Linked DNA regions of Macaca fascicularis. The protein of the gene in region 5 interacts with the protein of the main gene of each other region in a biochemical or structural test. Links are inferred from orthologs where the notes say so. Each region holds a gene or a part of one and is shown on either strand. Other genes may lie near its edges. The genes, in order: MEX3C, RPL22L1, SLC25A3, SSR4 and PTEN.

Region 1 (4,241 bases), on a different chromosome or scaffold from region 5:
CCACAGTTTTTCAATCTCCATTTGTTAAACTCCTTCCTACCCATTTTCCAAGGCCCTCCACGGTAGATGTTCTCCTATCTGATACTCTGTCACACTAAATATAATATAGTTAGTGCCATTCTACTGTTTATTAGACTGTTATCTTCTTAAGGGCAGAAAGTCTGAATTAACTTCACACTCTCAACTCAATACCACAAACTCAACACCTGGCAAAATACATGCTTGGTACATGGCGATTCCTCAGTGTTCTCACATGAATGGTCAACTCATTCTGATGCAAATTGAGATGTTGTAATTTTATCCCATGTAAATAAAAGTTTTATCCTGGATTAGTACTCTAAGTATCGTCAAAACCAAACAAACCAGGTATTTGAAACTCATTAACCAGAAGAACAACACACATAAGCTACCTCTCAATTGAAAGGTCCAGCTTTGAACAGTGTTGGTAAGTGCCAATCATCAGGCAGTCTGAAATAAGCTATCTCCTTTATCCAGATTTCATATGAGTTTTTATTAAAATCCTACAGATAGGAAAGAAATGAGCCAACTCTGATATGTGAAACCACCATTTCGACAGACCTCTTATTTATGTGTACTTTAGACCACTTGGGAAAGATGAGATCATTTAAGCAGCAGCGCCATCATCTCGCTTTATTTGACCCCAACAATGCTCTCAACCTAACAGTAAAGAGGCATGCATCAACCAGGCTAAACCATATTGTCATGCGGTGGCAGCAGGTAACATCTGCCCCTTTCATAAAGGGAAAAAGCTCCCATAAAGAACTTAGGACCTTCCCTAAAAATGTCGGATACAGAGGTACCCCAAGCATCTCCTTCCCCCACCTTCACAAATCTACTCCTGGAATCTGAGACATAGGTCCTTTGTCTGAACAATGTGGGAGGAGTCTGTCTGCAGTACTGGTGTGCTGACAAGTGAAGAGGAGAATTAACTGAAAACTGTATAAACACAGAAGTTTCTTAATTACCTTAGTGTCCAATTTTTCTTCATCCTGCACACCGAACAGTTTCAAAAGACAGCCAGTGTGTCAGTGTGTCTTTCCAAGACTTGAAACGTATCGAGAGGAATACAGTAAGATCGGCGGCAGTGAGTTGGGCTGCTTTTCCAAAGCTGTTTCTGAACAGCGGAGAGGCAGGGGATGGCGGTGATACCGACCATTTGAACATCCCTTCCCTCCCCAGTGAGCTCTGTCTACAGGCCTCCATTTCTGTCCTTTTCTCCATCTGAACAAGTTCTTGTAAGGGAGGCTGAACGCTTTAAAAAGAAGACACTCGGCGGCGCAAACTTGCAATCTCGAAGGTTTCCGTACCCAAGAGCGAACCCACAACTCCTCGAGCCCGACCTTTTACCACCTCACTGAGGTTTCTGGTGCCACGCCAGCCTGGTGTTCCACGAATACAGCCCAAGTAACGTGAACACCACCGGACTGGGTCGCCCGAAAAACTTCACACTTTTTACCAGGCGAGACGAGCGAAAAAGCGTGGGTTTTCGCAAGGTGACCCATCTTCACATCTGGTCGACCCTCGGCTCCTCCCAGACCCCTTCGGGGTGGATCTGGGGGCCTCGCCGGGTTCGCCCTTTCCGTCCCATGCTCATTTCTCTCGTCTCCCCACCCACGCCCGGGGCCATGCCCAGCTGGACCTCCCCACCCCTGCACTCACCCTGGCGGCCGACGATCTCGGCGACGTGCTCGGAGCTGGGCACCGGGACGCACTCGGTGGTGTTGACGCTCTTTCTCCGGAGCAGGGCCGCCTGCTCCCCGTTCAGGGCGGCCGCCGCCGCCCCACAGCCGCCGGGGCCGTAGGCATGGGACAGCATCGCCGCCATCATGCCCTGGGCATCGTCCCCTCCGTACAGCACCCCCGCCGCCGCCGCCGCGGCCGCCGCCTCCCGGGCATCGAAGCCGGCGGCGGGCAGCAACACAGACCCCAGGGACCCGCCTGGGATCGGCTGGGTCTGAGAGGCGGTGGCCGCGGGCGGCGACAGCAGCAACAGCGACGACCGGTCTTCCTCCTCTGCTTCCTCCAGCTCCTCCTCCTCCAGCAGGTCTCCGTCCAGCTCTGCTTCCTCCCCCTCCTCCTCGTCCTCTTCCAGCTCCAGCTCGGCCGCCTCCGGGGCCCCGGGCCGGCCAGGCGGAGCCCGCTCCTCTGGAGACAGCCCCGCCGCCCGCCGGGCCTGGCCCTGCGCCGCCGCCGCCACGGCTCGAAGCGCCGGAGCACCGGGATCCGCCGGGCTGGGGTCGTCGAGGCCTAGCGCGGCCAGGCGCTCCCTCAGCAGGAGCCCGTCCCCCTCGAGCTCCGGGCCGCCCGAGGGCGGCGGCAGAGGCGGCGGCGGCGGCGGCGGCGGCGGGGGCGGCTGCGGCAGGGGCGCCGGGGCCGCCGCCAGGGCCAGGGCCGCGGAGCTGCCGCTCGGCATCGCGGCGGCGCGCTGTCAATGGCGGCGGCGGCGGCGGCGGCGGCCGGGTCAGGCGCAGCAGGCGGCGAGCCCCATGGCGGACAGGGCCAGGGCCCTGCTCAGCGCGCAAACACCTTTCCTCTGGGGAGGCGGTGGGGCTGGGGACCCGGGCCGTGGAGCGCCAGGGCCGCCCGGAGACCGGAGAGGGCGGGGTGGAGGGGCAGGGGAAGGAGGCAAAGGTAGGTAACTAGGTGGGTGGGTGGGGACGGCGGCGGGGCGGGCTGGTGGAGGTGGCAGCGGCTCCCTCTCAGGGTTTCTTTTGTTTCATGGCCTTAACCAGCCCCCGGCGCGCGCGGCGGCGGCGGCGACGCCCCACGCCGCTCTCCGAATGAAGCCGGCGCGCTCTGATTGGGTGTTTTTAATCTCTGGGAGCCCGCCTTCTCCTCCCGCAGCCTTCCAACTCCTTTCCCCAGCCCCACCCCCCACCCTCCTTCGGGCCCCGCCCCTCCCCTCCCCAGAGCTCTCTGATTGGGTGACCGGGACCAGCCAGCTCCCGAAGCCCACTCCTTCCGTCCTCTCCCCGCCCACCTCCCTCTCCATTCCTCCCGGCACGCGCGGAGAGGGACTGTGATTGTTCACTTTACACGTCACTCTTTGTGACGTCTCCGGCGGGGGCGGGAAAAAGGAGGCGGATGAAGGCGCTGCTGCAGAGGCTGAAACTAAGGGCCAAGCGGGGTTTTGGCGCAGGCGCCTGCGGTCGAAGCGCACACCTGGATTTGTTTCCCCCCAACCCTTTATCCCTGTAGCCGGTCTGGCTGAGTTCTTTCAGGGAAGGCACTGTGTGAGCGGCCTGGAGCAGAGCTGCAGGCGCAGGTTCGAGGGCATTGTTTCCTCGGGTTGAGGATGAGATCGCCCCCTTCAGAGGAAGGGCCTTAAGAAGAGTCATGGAAGGAGGGGCCACGCAATATCCTCCTATCCCCTCGCGGGGGCGGTTTCCTGAGCCGCGTGGCTCCCGGGCCTTCCCTCTCGGACCCGGGAATGCTCCTCCCTCGTGGCCTGACGCTCCCAACGCCCCGTTGGCCCGGCTTTTCTGCCGGCAGGGTGGTTACATCAGCAGCCTGCAGGTGCTGAACTTTAGCTCTTTGGGGCCTTTTTTTTTTTCTTTTTGAAACGGAGTCTAGCTCCGTCGCCCTGGCTGGAGTGTAGTGGCACGATCTTGGCTCAACGCAACCTCGCCTCCCGGGCTCAAGAGCTTTACAGGGCGCGGTGGCTCACGCCTGTAATCCCAGCACTTTGGGAGGCTGAGGCGGGCGGATCACGAGGTCAGGTCAGGAGTCCGAGACCAGTCTGATCAACATGGTGAAACCCCGTCTCTTCTAAAAATACAAAAATTAGCCGGGCGTGGTGGCGCACCCCTGTAATCCCAACTACTCGGGAGGCAGAGGCAGGAGAATCGCTTGAACCCGGGAGGTGGAGGCTGCAGTGAGCCAAGATCACGCCACTGCACTCCAGCCTGGGCTACAGAACGAGACTCCGTCTCAAAAAAAAAGTTTTTCCTGTCTCAGCCTCCCCAGTAGCTGGGATTACAGGCACGTGCCACCACGCCCAGGTAATTTTTGTATTTTTAGTAGAGACGGAGTTTCACCATGTTGGCCAGGCTGGTCTCGAACTCTGACTTCAAGTGATCCGCCCGCCTCGCCCTCCCACAGTGCTGGCATTAGAGGCGTGAACCACCTTGTCCAGCTCTCTGGTGCTTTTAAAGAAATGAATCCCCGTTTCCTCCTCCCTAGACACTCTTCCCACAGTATTGCTCAGGTGATCTCCCTCT
Region 2 (3,981 bases), on a different chromosome or scaffold from region 5:
CTTTGCAACTAGCTTTATGCCCTTACAGCACTTATCACTGCTTGATTAATTCCATTTCACTCTCTCCCTTCTCCACTAGAAGTTTCTTGGTGGTGGTTAAACCGCCTGCTTGGTTCGCTGTTCAGTTACCCAGTCCTATGCTGCCCATGAAGTATTTAATATATGGTGAATAAATTGAACAAATAAAAACTGGCAGCAAGATGTTAAGACTTTGCCTCTGATCAGCTACCTCTCCTGAATAAATAACTAAAACCTTAAAAAATTGTAAGAAAAGGTTTGTATCATTGAGACAATCCTCGTATGTACACATTAGACATGTTTCTTTTAACACACTCAAATACTAAAGTACTCAGCATTAAAGGTTATATACAACTTGGATTTACAGGGCCTGTAATTTACGGGATCGGGACCATGGACACAACTGCCCTATATTCTAGCAATAAATTACACTTACAACTAGAATCAGCAACTGGCACTCATTTACTGAATTTCCCATTTATGTAGGCCTTTAGTAAGCTCTTATTTATTCTTGCATATAAACAGAATACGCGTAATAATTACATATTCTATGAAATATTCCAAAAACTACTATAATTTTATTAAAATTTGCAAAGGTACCAACCTTTTAGAGAACTGTTTCTCAGAAACAACTGTGATTTTATTCTTGAAGCGTTCAATGTGAACAACATTCCCGAGATTTCCAGTTTTGCCATTGACTTTAACCTTCTCCCGTAGAAATTGCTCCTATTTTAAAACAGAAAAAATGCACAACTAGGGAAGAGAACCCTAGATATTCACTAGGGAAGGTACCCTAGGAATAGAGCTTAGGTTATTATCAAATATTACATATTTAAACCACTATAAATAACTCGGATTATAAAAATGAGCCAAGTAGAATGATACTTACAAAATTTCCAGAATCAAAAATTCCATCTTCTACTGGATGAGTGAGGTCCAAATTAAACTTCCAGGTTGACCTTTTGGGCTTCTTGTCTTTCTGCTACATAAATGTGAAATAATTATGTAGCTATATAAAACAATTTATTCAATTGGTATAAACAATTTTAAAGTTTGTACCAATGCAATCCGTACAATGTACTGTGAGGTTACATATACAGAAATGTAACAAAAATAAAAATTAAAAAACCCCACCGACCCGGGATTGATGTGAACCTCTAACCAAGTCCTAATATGTTCAAGTTGTCAAAAGGTTATGGACTTTCATTGTTTTCCATACCACCGATGTTCAATTTTAAACTATCGTGCTTTACTGCCACCCCACTGCAGATGGAAATAGATTAGTAAACCTCCTAGCCCAAGCACAGTTAAGTGCCAGAGCTAGGATTCCATCCATCTATGTCTAGGAAATTCAATTCTTACGTTGTTATAGGCAAGGGAAGAGGACTTCGGTAAAAAAAAAAAAAAAAAAAAAAAAAGAAAGAAAAAAAATTTTTAAAAACAACCAAATAAAGGCCAGGCGCGGCCCCAGTACTTTGGGAGGCTGAGGCAGGAGGATCACTTGAGGTCAGGAGTTTGAGACCAGCCTGGCCAACATGGTGAAACCCCATCTCTAGTAAAAATACAAAAATTTGCCAGGTGTGGTGATGCATGCTTGTAATCCTAGCTATTCAGAAGGCTAAGTCGGGAGGATTGCTTGAACCCAGGAAGCGGAGGTTGCAGTGAGCCTGATCATGCCACTGTACTCCGAACTGGGGGACAGACTCTGTCTCAAAAAAAAGAAAAGCCAACACCGTGGAACTTAAATTTTCCATATCCAAACCTTTTATACCAAGACCATATTATATGGCTACATAAGCAAAATGTTGCGGTAGCCAGTAACCATGTACATTCACTGGAATATAAACAAATCAGTATTTATCAGATGATAACCTCCAATTTAGATCCACCCAAATGGCTACCAAGTATTACACCTTAGTTTGCTTTCTCAGGTAGCACGGTAACATGTACCAAAAGAAAATCACTCAGTTGGCGCAGAAGTTAATTTGGGAGACACAAACAATTTCTGTCTAATGGAACAGATAACCCTGTAGGGTTTATGGCCATGCTGGGCATTACGCAGTTTTGTAGCTAGCCCAGCAATTTTATCCTAATTTTTTCTGTAAATTACGCATATATACCTAGCTTTTCAGATATTCTTAGGAACATTTTAACATCTTACTGGTTCCCTTACTAATGACTTAAGTACAATATCTGAAGCATGTTCATTTCACATTGCCGGAATCTAGGCTTTTACTTTTCTAAAAATTACTTCACAGAGGAGCTTCTTCCCCAACTGAAAGTTCTCAGAAACTTCCGTGATGTCGGCCATCGCGGGAGCTGAGCGCCTCGGAGTTCCCTCTGGCCTGGGGCACAGGTCGTCAGACCGGCCGGATTACTCACCTTTCTCCTACCCAGTCCAGAGTGGCAAAAGCATTATCAGGCGCAAGGCAGTAAATAAATGGCTCAGATTGCAGTACCACCGGCCAATTTACAGCTGTGCCTCCCTCTTTCCCACGTGTCCAAAACCACCCATTCTAAACCATTTCCGAGCCCAGCTCCAACTCCACTAGACCGCATGGCAGATGCCAGGAGTCTCGAAAAACAATTCAGGATCCTCGCGTTTTGGTTGTGTTTCTGACCCAGCCTCCACTACTCCCCTCCCTTTATCTCGACTGAGACGTCCCCACTCGACAGATGCAAAATTCGTTACAGCAAAAATCATTAAATTGCCGCACAACACTCCCACCAAGACATCGCTCACTCACAGGCGCCATTTTGCGAATCGGCCGCGCGAGCAGAGAGAAACCTACGACCGAGCGGTCTGTATTTATACCAAAGCGTGCTGCGTCACGCGCTGAGAACGTCAGATTGTCGCCTCCAGGAAAAGAAAGCAGGAGGAGCGCGGAGGCCGGTAACCTAGGAAACCAGTGCGCGGCCGGACGCCAGTACGGAATCGGCTTTCCGCGGGCGCACGCGGGTGGCGGTGGTTGAACTGACTCCCGGGTTTCTGCTCCTGGCTGTACAAGCTGATTGATCGCAGTGGTCCCTACAGTTACCAAGTGGCTGCTCCCGGATACGGACGCACGCGAGGGATGCAGGGGTCATCTTTCACTAATCACCGGAATCCCCTTTCCAATCAGGGCAAGACAGTGTCTCAGGTTGCTTTGGGATCTCCTCTTTTATTGCAGTTATACTCCTCCAGCCAAAAAGTTATTTCTATTTGTGTTTTGTCTGTGGTCCTCGTTTTCTAAATGACTGTTGAGGGAAATCGGTTCTTCGGGGACCAGGTCCTCGGAAAAAAAAGCATTTATATATATATATGGGCGTGGTGGCCCACACCGGTAATCCCAGCACTTTGGGAGGCCGAGACCGGAGGATCTCTTGAGCCCAGGAGTTCCTGACCACCCTTGGCAGCATAGGCATAGGGAGAATCCGTCTCTACAAACAATTTAAAAAAAATTAGCCCGGGTGGTGGTGCGCTTCTGTATTCCCAGCCACTCGGGAGCCTGAGGCAGGAACATTGCTAAACTTGGGGGGAGGAAGTTGCAATGAGTCGAGATCTGCCACTGCACTCCAGCCTGCGTGACTCTGTCTTAAAGAGAAAAACACGTAGTGCTTGCTTCCTGTTCATTCGTTTGGTATAATTTATCATGGGTTTTAGAGTTAATCCCAGGTCTCTTGATTTCCATCCAAAATGCTCCCCAGTTAAAATTCAATGAATGTTTGCTGTGACCTATCAGTATGTACAAGACATACGAAGGTGGAAGTGTCTTGCTGACAAAAGGAAAAAGTAGCTTTTGAGCTTTGAAGGATTGTAAATTGACATCAGATTAGAAGGGTGGCATGCTAAACCCCTTGAGTTTAGCAGTAATACGTTTTCGTGGAGATGAAATTATCATACCTAGGGGTAGGGGTATGGGATGGGGTGGACTTTGTTGTTAATTTGAAGAATGACCCCCAGAAAGTAAGAACTGTTCATGG
Region 3 (4,185 bases), on a different chromosome or scaffold from region 5:
TTTTTTAGGGAACATCTTCTGTAGACTTTTAGACATTATCTCATTGAGTTCTCATAGACTTTGCAAGGTAAGTATTACTCCAGTCCAGAACCAGCCACCTAATTTTCAGGGTCCGGTGCAAACTAAAAAATGTGTGGCCCCTTGTTCATACATATATTAAGAATTTCAAGCCAGGCATGGTGGCTCAGGCCTGTAATCCCAGCACATTGGGAGGCCGAGGTGGGTGGATCACCTGAGGTCAGGAGTTCGAGACCAGACTAGCCAACATGATGAAATCCCGTCTCTGCAAAAAATACAAAAATTAGCCAAGCGTGGTCGTGCACGCCTGTAGTCCCAGCTACTCCAGAGGCCGAGGCAGGAGAATAGGGTGAACCTGGGAGGCAGAGCTTGCAGTGAGCCGAGATCACGTCACTGCACTTCAGCCTGGGTGACAGAGTGAAACTCCGTCTCAAAAAAAAAACAAAAAGAAAAGAAAAATTTCAAAATCAGCAGAGCATTAAACTAAGTGTAAGGCCATGTGTGATTGTACCAGTGTGAACCTGTGAGGCCAGTCCCACCCCAATCTTACATCTAAGGAACAGGTTCACAGAGATGAAGTAAATTCCCAAGGTTACTTTGTCAAGAGCTGGGAAAATATAAGAGCCAGAAGTCTAACAGGTTGAATCCCTATTAAACTCTCCCCAACTAAACTACGCCCCTCCCTGTTGAGCTGAATCTAATGAAAGCTTCCTAAATGTTTTAACCAGACACACGCACAATCTGCTATCAGTCACTTTCACTAGTTCATCGCTGTAACACCTCAGGTGTTCAATGTTTCAACGTGTTCTATAGATTATTGTGATAACGCGGCAAGCTGTCGTAAGACTTCTTGCTGCACATTTCTTTTTTAAAATATTCTCCAGAAGTCTGATGAAAAATGCAGACATACCTATATTTAATGTCAATGGATGGAACTTATTTTAAAAAGTACTGTAATGGCAGAAGTTGTGACACATAATACTGCAGTGATGTTCTCTAACTCCAACACCTAAATATATCATCAAGCATTCATGTTTTGTTTTTTAAGTGACTACTAGATACTGTGATTCACTTAAGTGAAGCGAACTGAAGCCTGTGGTCAAGAAGAGACACCTGAAGGTGAAGGGACAAAGCGAGCAGGTTAATATCCCGAACCCGACCCCTCTCAAAAAATATACAGCCGGAACGCGCGTCTGCGCAGAACGAATCCTCCTGCGCACACGCCGGGCCGGAAGAGCAGGAGTGGGCAGGGGCGGGGATAAGGTTGCTAGGAGAACGCGATGACGCTACGGGCTCGGAGCTCTTCTCCACCAATGGGCGACGCATGCTTGCAGTGACGCGCTGTGTGCGTCACGCCGACGACGCGCGAAGGGCACACATCTTAGGGCTGGGAGGACGTTCGGCCTCTGTGAGCGGTAACCTTTCCAAGGGAGTGGTTGGGTGATCGCCATCTTAGGGAGTGAGTGTGACCGGGCCTTCCCCTGTGGCGGGTGTGGGGAGCGGAGCCCAGAGACCCTGTGGGGCCGCTGCTTTGGCGGTGGGCCCAGCCGGGAGCAGCCTCCTTCGAAGGCCGCCGTGACCTCTTCAAGGGCGCGCAGGCGGGAAGGAAAAGGCCCGGTTGGGGTTCCAGGGCGCCGGTAACATTAACCGGCGCCTTGCCTGCCATCTCACCGCCGCTCCCTCTTCCCCTAGAAAGATGTTCTCGTCCGTGGCGCACCTGGCGCGGGCGAACCCCTTCAACACGCCACATCTGCAGTTGCTGCACGATGGCCTCGGGGACCTCCGCAGCAACCCACCCGGGCCCACTGGCCAGCCCCGCCGCCCTCGCAACCTGGCAGCCGCCGCCGTGGAAGGTGAGATCAGACCTTGCCTGATACAGTCGTGGTCTATTCGTGGTCTGCCCAGCGTTTGAGGCCTGGACCCGGCTTGGAGGACAGGGAAGGACGAGTCCAGCCCGCTGCACCGTAGGACGGCGCCCAGTTGCTTGCCCTGGGATATCGTCTTTTTCCACCCTAGGCGGGTGTCAGATCCTTGGCCCTCCCTCAAGGGCGTGGAAGGGCTGAGGCCCTGTGTCCCTTCGTGACCTCCATGTCCCCGAGGGAAAAAAGGCCGCGACTAGCTCCTTATCTTCTCTGCCGTGAGCCCGCTTGGTCAGCCAACTAAGTATTGGGTAAAGTCTCTTCCCCAAACTACTGACCACCCACAGTTCTACTAACTGTATCACCTGTCCTTTGATTTGCCCTTAGTTTTCTTGAACAGTCCTTTCCTAAGTTTTATATTCGTCGACGCCAGGTCCGTCATTTTAGCACTTAATTATATATGAGATAACTGGATCTCCTGTTTTCATGCGACTGGAGGAGGCAGCTTGCAGCACTACATAGGCAATAAAAAGGAGATAATTGGTGGGCATCCCTTTGGTGTGATTATCTCTTGCGATTCTTTGTGGTTGGGCCCAGCTTTAACTTGGTTGTGTGTGTTTTAAATCCTAGTGAAGTGTGTACATACAGAGAAACCTGAAAATCGAATTGTAGGAGTCCTGAGAATGTTATCTACCTTATGCCTGTAAAATCGAAAGATTTTTTTCTTTAAATCACTCATGTGCTTCTGTTATGTCTTTAGTATGGATAAAGAATCCTTACTTACACTATCTGTCATTCAGTTTAAAATTAAAGCTAACATTATTTGTGTATTAAATGTATATGACTGCAGGAATTTATGTGTATCTGTTTTTATGTTATAGGAGTTCATAAGTGGGGATAGTATTGGTTAGTGGCTAGGATAAACTTTGAAGTTGTTTGCAAGCCTTTTACACGTCGGGTGATCTTTCTGAGTTTCATTTGTACTCTGAAGTGTGCTCTTACCAGTGGTTAATAATTTGAAGTTTGACTTTAATTGTAAAAGCCGTTAATGTAGAAAACTTTTTAAAAAATGAATATGGCAGAATCCAAGCTGTTAATAGTATCAGATACAGAACCCTCATAATTTTTAAATGATCTGATTTTGGCAGTGAATTTTTTTTTAAGCCACTTAATTGGCCAAAGCTATTCAGCTGTGATAATACTATTTTAACAGGGAAACAGTTTTCTTTCATTCCAGTGGCCTTAGTCATCTCTGAAGAAATACTTACTTCATTTTTTTTTTTTTTTCCAATCAAACAGAGCAGTATAGCTGTGACTATGGATCTGGCAGATTCTTTATCCTTTGTGGACTTGGAGGAATTATTAGCTGTGGCACAACACATACAGCATTGGTTCCTCTAGATCTGGTTAAATGCAGAATGCAGGTTTGTTTTGCATGCTGGACTAGAGCATATTGAAGCATGACTGACTGTTAAGTTATAAGATATAGTCATCTACTAACAAGCTGTGTGGAAACCTAACTGTCCAGGAGGTAAGTTTATGACCAGTAACATGAGTTTTATATTAAAATGCATGGTGTGTCTTCTCTTACTACAGAGTACAGTTGTGAATTTGGCTCCGCGAAGTATTATGCACTGTGTGGCTTTGGTGGGGTCTTAAGTTGTGGTCTGACACACACTGCTGTCGTTCCCCTGGATTTAGTGAAATGCCGTATGCAGGTTTGTATTGAGATGACAACATTGAAAGTATCTTTCATGTGACTTAACTTTAAATAAAATCTTAAAGCGCTTCCCAAATGAGAATTTGAAGACATCACAACTGCTAGAAACTTCAGTAGGAAACCAAACTAAAATTTCTTTAAATCGTGGGCTTTATTTTAACTAGTGTTTTAAATCCAATAAATGCCTCTATTGTTGGAGTAAATTATTCACTCTTAGACTCTGGCTGTAGATGGCTCTTTGCTGCTGCTCTTCACTTTCTGGCCAGAGTTCTTCAAGCTTACTTGTGCCCCAAATAGTCGTTTTATAAGCACCTGTGTGTTGGAGTGGGTAAACAAGTCTGTGTATTATGTGAGGTAACGATGTCCTTTATCTACTAATAAGACCAAGGCAAAGAGCACATGTAGATTTATTTAAAATGCTCTAATGCCTTAGTATGAAAATTTTGTCAGATTAGCCTTTTGTATATTTACATAACATTTTAAAATAATTTCAATATCTTTTAATTAAGATTATTGAAACAAAAACAAGACATCAAAAATTTATTTGTTCCAAACAGGATTAGAAGTCTATTTACCTAAAAGAGAAAT
Region 4 (4,212 bases), on a different chromosome or scaffold from region 5:
AGAGCCATGTTCTGGGTGAGGAGACAAAGGCAGGGTCACCTTCTGCCTTCTCTGGGTGTGGGCAGAGGAACCCTGTGTGCTGCTCACACGGCCTGCAGATGGGTAGGCTAGGCCCAGTTGGGGGCTGCAGTGTCCCTGGCAGGAGGTTCCAGGTAACACTCACCAATCCTGTGACTGGCCCTCTGCATCGGTCTTCCCTACGGAGGCACAGGGCTAGATCCCCATGGTCGGACCTAACTGGACGCATAGGAACCTTGTTGACTGTGAGCAGGGGCGGGATGATCAAAAGGGCCGAGTGATTTTCCTGAGTCTACAAGGGAGGTGCTGGGGTCCGGGATGCCCAGTGGGCTGCCCAAGGGGTGCTTTACCCTAAGAGAGCCATACCCAAAAAAAAGGCCCCATTTCCTTCTTTGGACTTTTGGGAACGTAGGTCAGGGGCCAAGGCCAAGGCTCCTCAATCTTGAAGTTAAAACACCCGAAATCCTGTCTCTACCAAAAAATACAAAACTTAGCTGGGCATGGTGGTAAGCGCCTGTCATCCCAGCTACTCGGGAGACTGAGGGGAGAATCTCTTGAACCCGGGAGGCGGAGGCTGCAATGAGCCAAGATCGTGCCAATGCACTCCAGCCGGGGCAACAGAGTGAGACCCTGTCTCAAAACAAACAAAAAACAAAAACAAAGACAAAACACCCACACAGACAAACTGGCCAATGGCAACGAGGGTGGGCTGCCCTTTCTCCCGGTTCAGATACTCATTCGGGACACAGGTTGTGAGCCCAGTGTTACCTCGTGTAGGCACAGCACACAAAGCAGGTGAGGAAGGTGACCTGTCAACACTGGCTAGGATCTGGCATCGCCGTGCCCTGATCTCTCCAGCACCCCAAGAGTTGGAATCTCTGTTGACACGGGTCCCCCATCAACTGGCAGTGAGGAGCACCCCCACCCGCCCTCCTGTCTGAAACCCCACTGTCTCACCTGGACCCTGTTCTTGCATGTCAGGGAGATCTCCACAATAAAGACAGTCTCGGTGGAAATGACAGCGTCAGAAGTGGTGTAGTAGGAAGGGGTGATCTGGGGCTCCAGGCAGGCCTCAGCTGCAGGGAAGAGGGAGAGATGCTTGGGTAAGGCCAGCTCGAGTATCCCAGTCTGAGGGCAGGATGGCCGGGCCCTGCCTCACAGCACGGATCAGCTGAGGACGCACGGGATCCTCCTGTCCCTTCCAGGTGGGATCCAGACAGATCCAAGTGCTCGGTCACAAATGCAGTGGCAAGGTAGGTGGGATGGCTGTGAAAGCAGACTGGAGAGGGGCAAGGCCGGCTTTCTGGAGGTGTGCAGGAAGAGCGAACGCGTGTGCTGGGGACAGGTGGGCGCTGGATTCACTGGACAATACATGCCAACGCTTGGACCTATGACACGGAGGCCAGGGGGCCAGGCCAGCCTCCATTCAGAACCACAAACGGCCTGGACGGGTTACTGAAGGCATCCTCAGCAGAGACATCAGGGGTAGGGCTGCAGGCAGGCAATGCACTGCCCCAGCGTTTCCTGAGGAAGTCATCAGGAGAGGCTCTGCTTCCAGAAGCACAACTTGTCAGCTGTGAGAGAAAGGACTCTGCCTTAGCCTTCTCCATAACCACAGAGGCCCACAGGAAAGACAGGCTGCCGCCTACATCAGAGGGTGTGAAACAAAGGCTCCCCAAAATGGGAACGTTCTCAGTCACCAGCTGTCCAAATGTGATGCTCCGGCAGAATGACGGCTTCAGCAGAGGACGTCAGAGAAGGCTCTGGGTCCGGACCAGAGGAGGCAGATCCGTAGGAACAGCATGGAGGCCGCTCTCAGGGGCCAGATCCTACCAGCCTTTCTGTGTCCTGCCTAAGTTGGGCCTGCTTCCTGTGGCGCAGGGGAGCCCCCGAAAGGGTTTTATGGCCAGGCTTGTCCTCTGGATAAGTCCCTGGCTATAACTCAGGGAATTCCTGAGGGGCAGACAAGAGGGTGCGGGCAGGGAGGCCAGTTAAGCTGGCAAAACGTTGCAGGCAGCAAGGCTACTGGCCTGAAGGACGGCAGAAAAGGGAATGTGCAGAAAGCCACCCCTGTCCAGTCCTGGCCCCCGGGCCCGGGACTGGCTGCTGCAGCCACCTCCTAAACACACTCTGGAGCCTCAGACCCTCATGAACGCAAATCGACGGGACCCCTGGTAGGCTCTGCCGAAAACTCTGGTAAGGGTAAGGCAGGGCCCTCCGGAAAGGCCAGTCTTCGGCCTGGCACTCAAGGTCCTGCGCACCTCTGGCTCCCCATCTAACTCGCCCCGTTCTTGCTCCCTCTCCTCACTGAGGTCCCTTCCTAGCTTATGTGGTTCCTCCAGCCCCGTTTTTGACCGCGATCGCTCAGCACTACAGAGCTTCGTTCTGGTCCGACCCCGCGGGGAGCGGGAGCGGGGACATGTGTCACGTTCCGTGCTGGAGCTGGGGGCCGGGCGCACGGTGGAGGCTCCGGGACTCCTCTTCGTATGGGCAGACAAGGAAAAGCCTGGCTGCCGGTAAACGTGCCCGAGGTGCTTTGGTCCCCGCGTCCCAAGGCCGCCTGCCTCTCGGAGGAAGGCCCGGCTCTCAGCGACGGACCCCGAAAAGCCAGACCCCCGCATCCCTCCTCCCCTCAACACCACGTGGGGTGGGTCAGAGGCTCGCCAGAAAGAAGCCCCGACTGGGCCGCTACCTGAGCAGCGGGAGAGGCTGGACAGCAGGAGCAGCGCCAGGGCGCCGAGATATGCCATCGCCGCCATCGCCTCTTCTCTGCCTAGAGGAAAAGAAAACGAGCTCCCATGAACACGAGGGGCAAACGAGGAAGAGCGACGCGTAAGTGACAGCGGCAGCCAATCGTGCACCGAAGGGCCGGGCCGGCATTGTGACGTCTCTGGCAGCACTGACGTGGCCCCTCCCCGAGACAGGGGCCCAGCTGGTCGCGATCCCCCATCAACATGGCGGCAGCGGCGCTCTAGGCGCCGGAAGGGGGCGTGGGAATCGGTGAGACCGCGCGCGTGCGCAGTACCGGGCCCGCGCCGGTCCCCGAAACTTCGCACCCCGTGGAACTCTCGCGAGAGCGGTGTCTGCGTGACGGGACGTGCGGAGGCTCTCACTTTCCGTCATGGCGCTGAAGGTAGCGACGGTCGCCGGCGGCGCTGCGAAGGCAGTGCTCAGGCCAGCCCTTCTCTGCCGTCCCTGGGAGGTGAGCAGGGAAAGGGCCACGGGGCCGCGGCAGCGCTCGCAGGGGAGCGGTGGGGTAGCCGCTCCCGAAGCAGTCTGGAGTCCGATTGGCTAGGAGAGGGCTGCGCGCCGGGGTTGATTGGCCGCCTCCGCTGTCACTGAGGGGATTGGCCGAAGTTGGCCCTGGGCCGGCTCCCCCAGGGCGTCTGCATCGGGTGGCGGGGGGGGGGGTTCCGGACGGGCCGGGAGAGTGGGCCACGGCGGCTGTCACCTCCTTACTGTCCTTGAAAGAGCCCTTTGACGCAGTCACTCACGTATCCCGGCCCGCCTTTCTCAAACCGCTTCGGGAATCCGGTTCCGGGACTCAAATTTCTCCATGGGTTCCCGTCTCGTTGACCGCTTTGCCACTTGTCCCGGTGGCAAAGAACCGGACTTTGCCAGTCATACCCCATCCTCCCACAGTCTTAGAGCCCCAGATGCCTTCCCCCCGAGGCGCCTGGAATGGGAAGGAGCTAGGGTTTCTCAGGCTGCGGGGGTTTTGCTTCTGCTCTTCTTGGTCTGCGGTCTTGCGTATTCAGGTCTGAGTCCTTTTTCCTTACGCTTATTTAAGAAGAGGTTAATTTAGGTCCTAGGTGGGCTGGAAACCATCTGAAGCAGCTGGCCCTGATGGGTAAGAGGTTTGGCCTCTAGGCCATGCTCCCCCACTGACCCAGTGCGTGGCCTTAGGCCAGTTTCTCCTCTCTCTGGGTTACAGTTTCCCCTTTGGAACCCAGAGGGGAGACTTCATGTTTTCAAAGGATCCTGTCAACTCTGACCTTCCAGAACTCCGTGATTTTGTTGCCACTCACCAGGGACACCTCTACTTGCTGTTTTCTCTTTCTGGCCTCTGGGGGAGATGCTTGTGCCTAATGAAATTCTCTTGACAATGCCGACTTCTCCTACCTTGCTGCTGAAAGGACGGCAGCATATAGTGGCTTTCCAGAGGCTCTGATGGCTCTAGCAACTGGGCTCCTG
Region 5 (3,511 bases):
GATTTTTCAATATAGTCCTTAGTTTTCCGATCAAAGAATCAAGAATCTTCTATTAATCTAACTACATTTATGAATATTCTTATAAAAGAATAATTTTTATGTATTATAAAAGTTCACCCTTTACTAGGTAATGGTATTTTATCCAAAGCCATTCTATGCTCAAATAAGCTTCAGAAATATAAGCTTATTTTTGATAGCTTTTTAAAAATGTTATTTTAAAAGAATTTTATGAGACCAAATCTGCAATACAGTTAATGGGTAACATGTGCTAGTATGATATGAAAATGGTAGCATGAACAGAAAAATGAAATCAGTCATTTCTCATATAGAAATTGAGGCAGCAACTGATTTAAAAATTTAGAAGAAATAAGGATTAGCAACTATTTTTAAAACCTGTTTTCCAGGGACTGATGGTGGGGCGGGGAGGGACACAAGATGAACAAGATCTGAAGATCTACTGGACAGCACAGTGACTATAGTTAATAATAACATTGTATAACTGAAAATTGAAGCTTGTAGATGTTAAATGCTTTCACCTTGAAGGGAGAAGAATAATTATGTGAGGTGATGAATACGTTAAGTAGCTTGACTGTAGTGATCATTACACAATGTATATATACATACATCAAAAGATCATATTATACATTGTATTTATATATAATTTTTACTTGTCAATTACACCTCAATAAAACTGAAGGAAAAAAAAAAAAAACACCCAGTATCTGTTTTCCAATAAATTCTCAGATCTAGGAAGAGGAAAGGAAAAACATCAAAAAATAACTTACCTTTTTGTCTCTGGTCCTTACTTCCCCATAGAAATCTAGGGCCTCTTGTGCCTTTAAAAATTTGCCCCGATGTAATAAATATGCACAAATCATTACACCAGTTCGTCCCTTTCCAGCTTTACAGTGAATTGCTGCAACATGATTGTCATCTTCACTTAGCCATTGGTCAAGATCTTCACAAAAGGGTTTGATCAGTTCTAGCTGTGGTGGGTTATGGTCTTCAAAAGGATATTGTGCAACTGTGGTAAAAAGACAACCTCAGAATAAGAAAAAAAACTTCTGAATTTTTAATTACAAGTAGGTTAACTTTAGAAATGTTGCATACAAACTTAACAGGTATTTAAAAGAAACACTAGATTCCAGAGAAAAATAATGTATTGCTTAACTTTCTAATTTTTAAATAGAAAATAGTCTCTTGATAAGTCTCAAATATAATCATTAAGGAAGGCAAGTATTATTTTCCCCCATTTTATTCAGAAGGATATATTCTAGGAATTTACACTATATGGACTGACAGCATAGGTCACATATTAGAGGTACAGCTAAACCCAAAATGAAATGTCACATGGACATTTCATCAGGACTCTCAATGCAAAAGGAATACTATTTATAGTATTTATTTCATCATCACAAAACATATTCCAAAGACAGAATAGATTACTAATAAACTATAGAAAGAATTGCATATTACATTTCATAAAATAAAAATGCTAAGTGTGTTATTTAAAGGTGGTCTTGCAAATATTAGTGTTGTATACACATGTAAATCATTAGGGAAGCCAAGTACTATTTACCTCCATTTTCTGCAGGAGAATACATTCTGGGAATTTACGCTCAATGGACTGGTAGCATAGGTCACATACAGAGATATGTGAAGGCATACACCAAAGAAATTACTTACAAAATGTATATAATTGTTATCAAAGTTTCAGGTCTTCTCACATGAATTATAAGAGTCCAAGACTTCTCTGTTCACTATAGTCAGAGTTGAGGTTTTTAAAAAACCTTGTTTAGAAACAGGACTATAGATATATCACTATTAATTGTTCTTAATAGTTTCTACCTTAATTCCACTCTATTAAGATCCTTAAAAACTCTGATACTCAACGTACTATCCTGTGTTACCTAAATATGTGAGAAGTATGTCTTATATCTCCAATCAAGTCACTCATAATATGATACAGGATACAATCAATTATCCTTTGGTGTGACAGGACAGCTCTTCTGGTAGACAATGACTATCATTATAGGGAGTCCAGAAGGACAGCTTTCACTTAGTCATCTGCCTAACTCCATTTTCTCAGTGGTACACAAAAACCTCCAGGAAAACCTGTTAAATGTCTATTTAAAGCAACATAAACCTCAACTAAAGCCTGCTTTGCCTAGTAAGCAACAACCTAAATCCACCAAAAACAAAAACAAAACGTTCTTAGTGAATCTATACCAAATCTCAATCATGAGTGATTTAGAATTTTCAAACCATCTGTCTGAAAGTCCATTCTAGATTTTCAGGAGGGATCAATGGCAAATACATCAATAGTAGCTCATGGCACCCACTTTCTCTTTTTGACTATCACAGCGGCATCTGCCTAGCTTCTCAACTCTTCAGTTCTCTCATGGTTTAAAGTGTTAGGTCATAGAACTGAGCTGTATTTCACAAATAAAAGTGAAAGTTTTTGTGGGCTCTGAGAATTAACTTATGTCTGAAGTAGAACTCATTTAAAGCAATTCCCTCCTCTCATCCATCAGGTTTCTCTTATCAACATTTGTTATATCCTTTCCTACCTTTTATGTCATTCCTCAACACAGAAGAGTTAAGTAGTTCTGCTTTCTCCCTATAGTTGCTTACTATCAGACCTACTGCCTTAAACAGTAGGTAAACCCTCTCCTTATACTATTTTTAGTCTAGGAATTTTCCTAATTCTTAGTCTACTCTGCACTTTAGTCTTCCTGACAATATTAATAGCTTTATGCAATACTTTTTTCCTAAAAAACAGCAAAATTAAATTTTTTGAAAATTTTTAAGATACTTCTTAAGATAAATATGTATCTCACTCAATAATCTAGATGACTCATTATTATGACAGTTAAGATATAGTCTATCGGGTTTAAGTTATACAGCATAGTACAGTACATTCATACCTACCTCTGCAATTAAATTTGGCGGTGTCATAATGTCTTTCAGCACAACTAAAAGAAAAGTTTAAAAGTGATATATAGTTATCTTTTGCATTTAGGAAGAAAAAAAGTACTAATATTAACAAACATTGCCTGAATCTTTATAATGTGACACATATTATGCTGTTTAACATTAATTATTTCATGTAATAAGAATTCTATTACGTAGATACTATTATCACCCCCATATTATAATAATAAAACCAAAGCTTAAAAGATTAAGTGTATGCAATTAGAGCTAATAAATTTGCTTACAAAACTTGTGATGTCACTAATATAGAGTACTGCAAATTCAGGTGCTTCCATGCTTTCAAATTTCCTCTATGAAAAATTTGCATGCTATTGGAATTTTTTTTTTTTTTTTACAAGTACCTATAAACAACTGGCTAGTTTCAATAGTATTTGTATCTCATATTTAAGCATACATAATTCTCAAACTATTCTTCAAAAAGATATATGTTAAAAATAATAAAAGCATAAGGACAGTAAAGAAAAACTGAATGATGTTAATCTACTTGGACACAATGCTTACCAATTTTTTTTTTTCT

The links.
Region 1: of the proteins of PTEN (region 5) and MEX3C, one has a biochemical effect on the other in vitro, tested with the Homo sapiens proteins (2 studies listed by BioGRID). The link is inferred for Macaca fascicularis from reciprocal best matches to the Homo sapiens genes PTEN and MEX3C.
Region 2: the proteins of PTEN (region 5) and RPL22L1 form a complex in vitro, tested with the Homo sapiens proteins (2 studies listed by BioGRID). The link is inferred for Macaca fascicularis from reciprocal best matches to the Homo sapiens genes PTEN and RPL22L1.
Region 3: the proteins of PTEN (region 5) and SLC25A3 form a complex in vitro, tested with the Homo sapiens proteins (2 studies listed by BioGRID). The link is inferred for Macaca fascicularis from reciprocal best matches to the Homo sapiens genes PTEN and SLC25A3.
Region 4: the proteins of PTEN (region 5) and SSR4 form a complex in vitro, tested with the Homo sapiens proteins (2 studies listed by BioGRID). The link is inferred for Macaca fascicularis from reciprocal best matches to the Homo sapiens genes PTEN and SSR4.

What each region holds. Positions count from the first base shown.
Region 1 is NC_088392.1:38,531,613-38,535,853, reverse strand, and holds the start of MEX3C (RNA-binding E3 ubiquitin-protein ligase MEX3C), read right to left. Parts: upstream 2,804-4,241; 5' UTR 2,435-2,803; coding exon 1,681-2,434; intron 1,534-1,680; exon of another isoform or gene 1-1,533. UniProt on the Homo sapiens protein: E3 ubiquitin ligase responsible for the post-transcriptional regulation of common HLA-A allotypes. Binds to the 3' UTR of HLA-A2 mRNA, and regulates its levels by promoting mRNA decay.
Region 2 is NC_088376.1:82,351,045-82,355,025, forward strand, and holds the start of RPL22L1 (ribosomal protein eL22-like), read right to left. Parts: upstream 2,803-3,981; 5' UTR 2,775-2,802; coding exon 2,766-2,774; intron 1,001-2,765; coding exon 908-1,000; intron 745-907; coding exon 623-744; intron 1-622.
Region 3 is NC_088385.1:105,587,731-105,591,915, forward strand, and holds the start of SLC25A3 (solute carrier family 25 member 3), read left to right. Parts: upstream 1-1,381; 5' UTR 1,382-1,433; exon of another isoform or gene 1,434-1,477; intron 1,478-1,710; exon of another isoform or gene 1,711-1,714; coding exon 1,715-1,871; intron 1,872-3,176; coding exon 3,177-3,301; exon of another isoform or gene 3,302-3,445; coding exon of another isoform or gene 3,446-3,595; intron 3,596-4,185. UniProt on the Homo sapiens protein: Inorganic ion transporter that transports phosphate or copper ions across the mitochondrial inner membrane into the matrix compartment. Mediates proton-coupled symport of phosphate ions necessary for mitochondrial oxidative phosphorylation of ADP to ATP.
Region 4 is NC_088395.1:159,854,312-159,858,523, reverse strand, and holds the start of SSR4 (translocon-associated protein subunit delta), read right to left. Parts: upstream 2,809-4,212; 5' UTR 2,778-2,808; coding exon 2,711-2,777; exon of another isoform or gene 1,719-2,710; intron 1,593-1,718; exon of another isoform or gene 1,095-1,592; coding exon 976-1,094; intron 12-975; coding exon 1-11. Other genes in the region: IDH3G (isocitrate dehydrogenase [NAD] subunit gamma, mitochondrial), read left to right, coding at 3,140-3,220. UniProt on the Homo sapiens protein: TRAP proteins are part of a complex whose function is to bind calcium to the ER membrane and thereby regulate the retention of ER resident proteins.
Region 5 is NC_088383.1:96,801,841-96,805,351, reverse strand, and holds part of PTEN (phosphatidylinositol 3,4,5-trisphosphate 3-phosphatase and dual-specificity protein phosphatase PTEN), read right to left. Parts: intron 2,976-3,511; coding exon 2,932-2,975; intron 1,025-2,931; coding exon 786-1,024; intron 1-785. UniProt on the Homo sapiens protein: Dual-specificity protein phosphatase, dephosphorylating tyrosine-, serine- and threonine-phosphorylated proteins.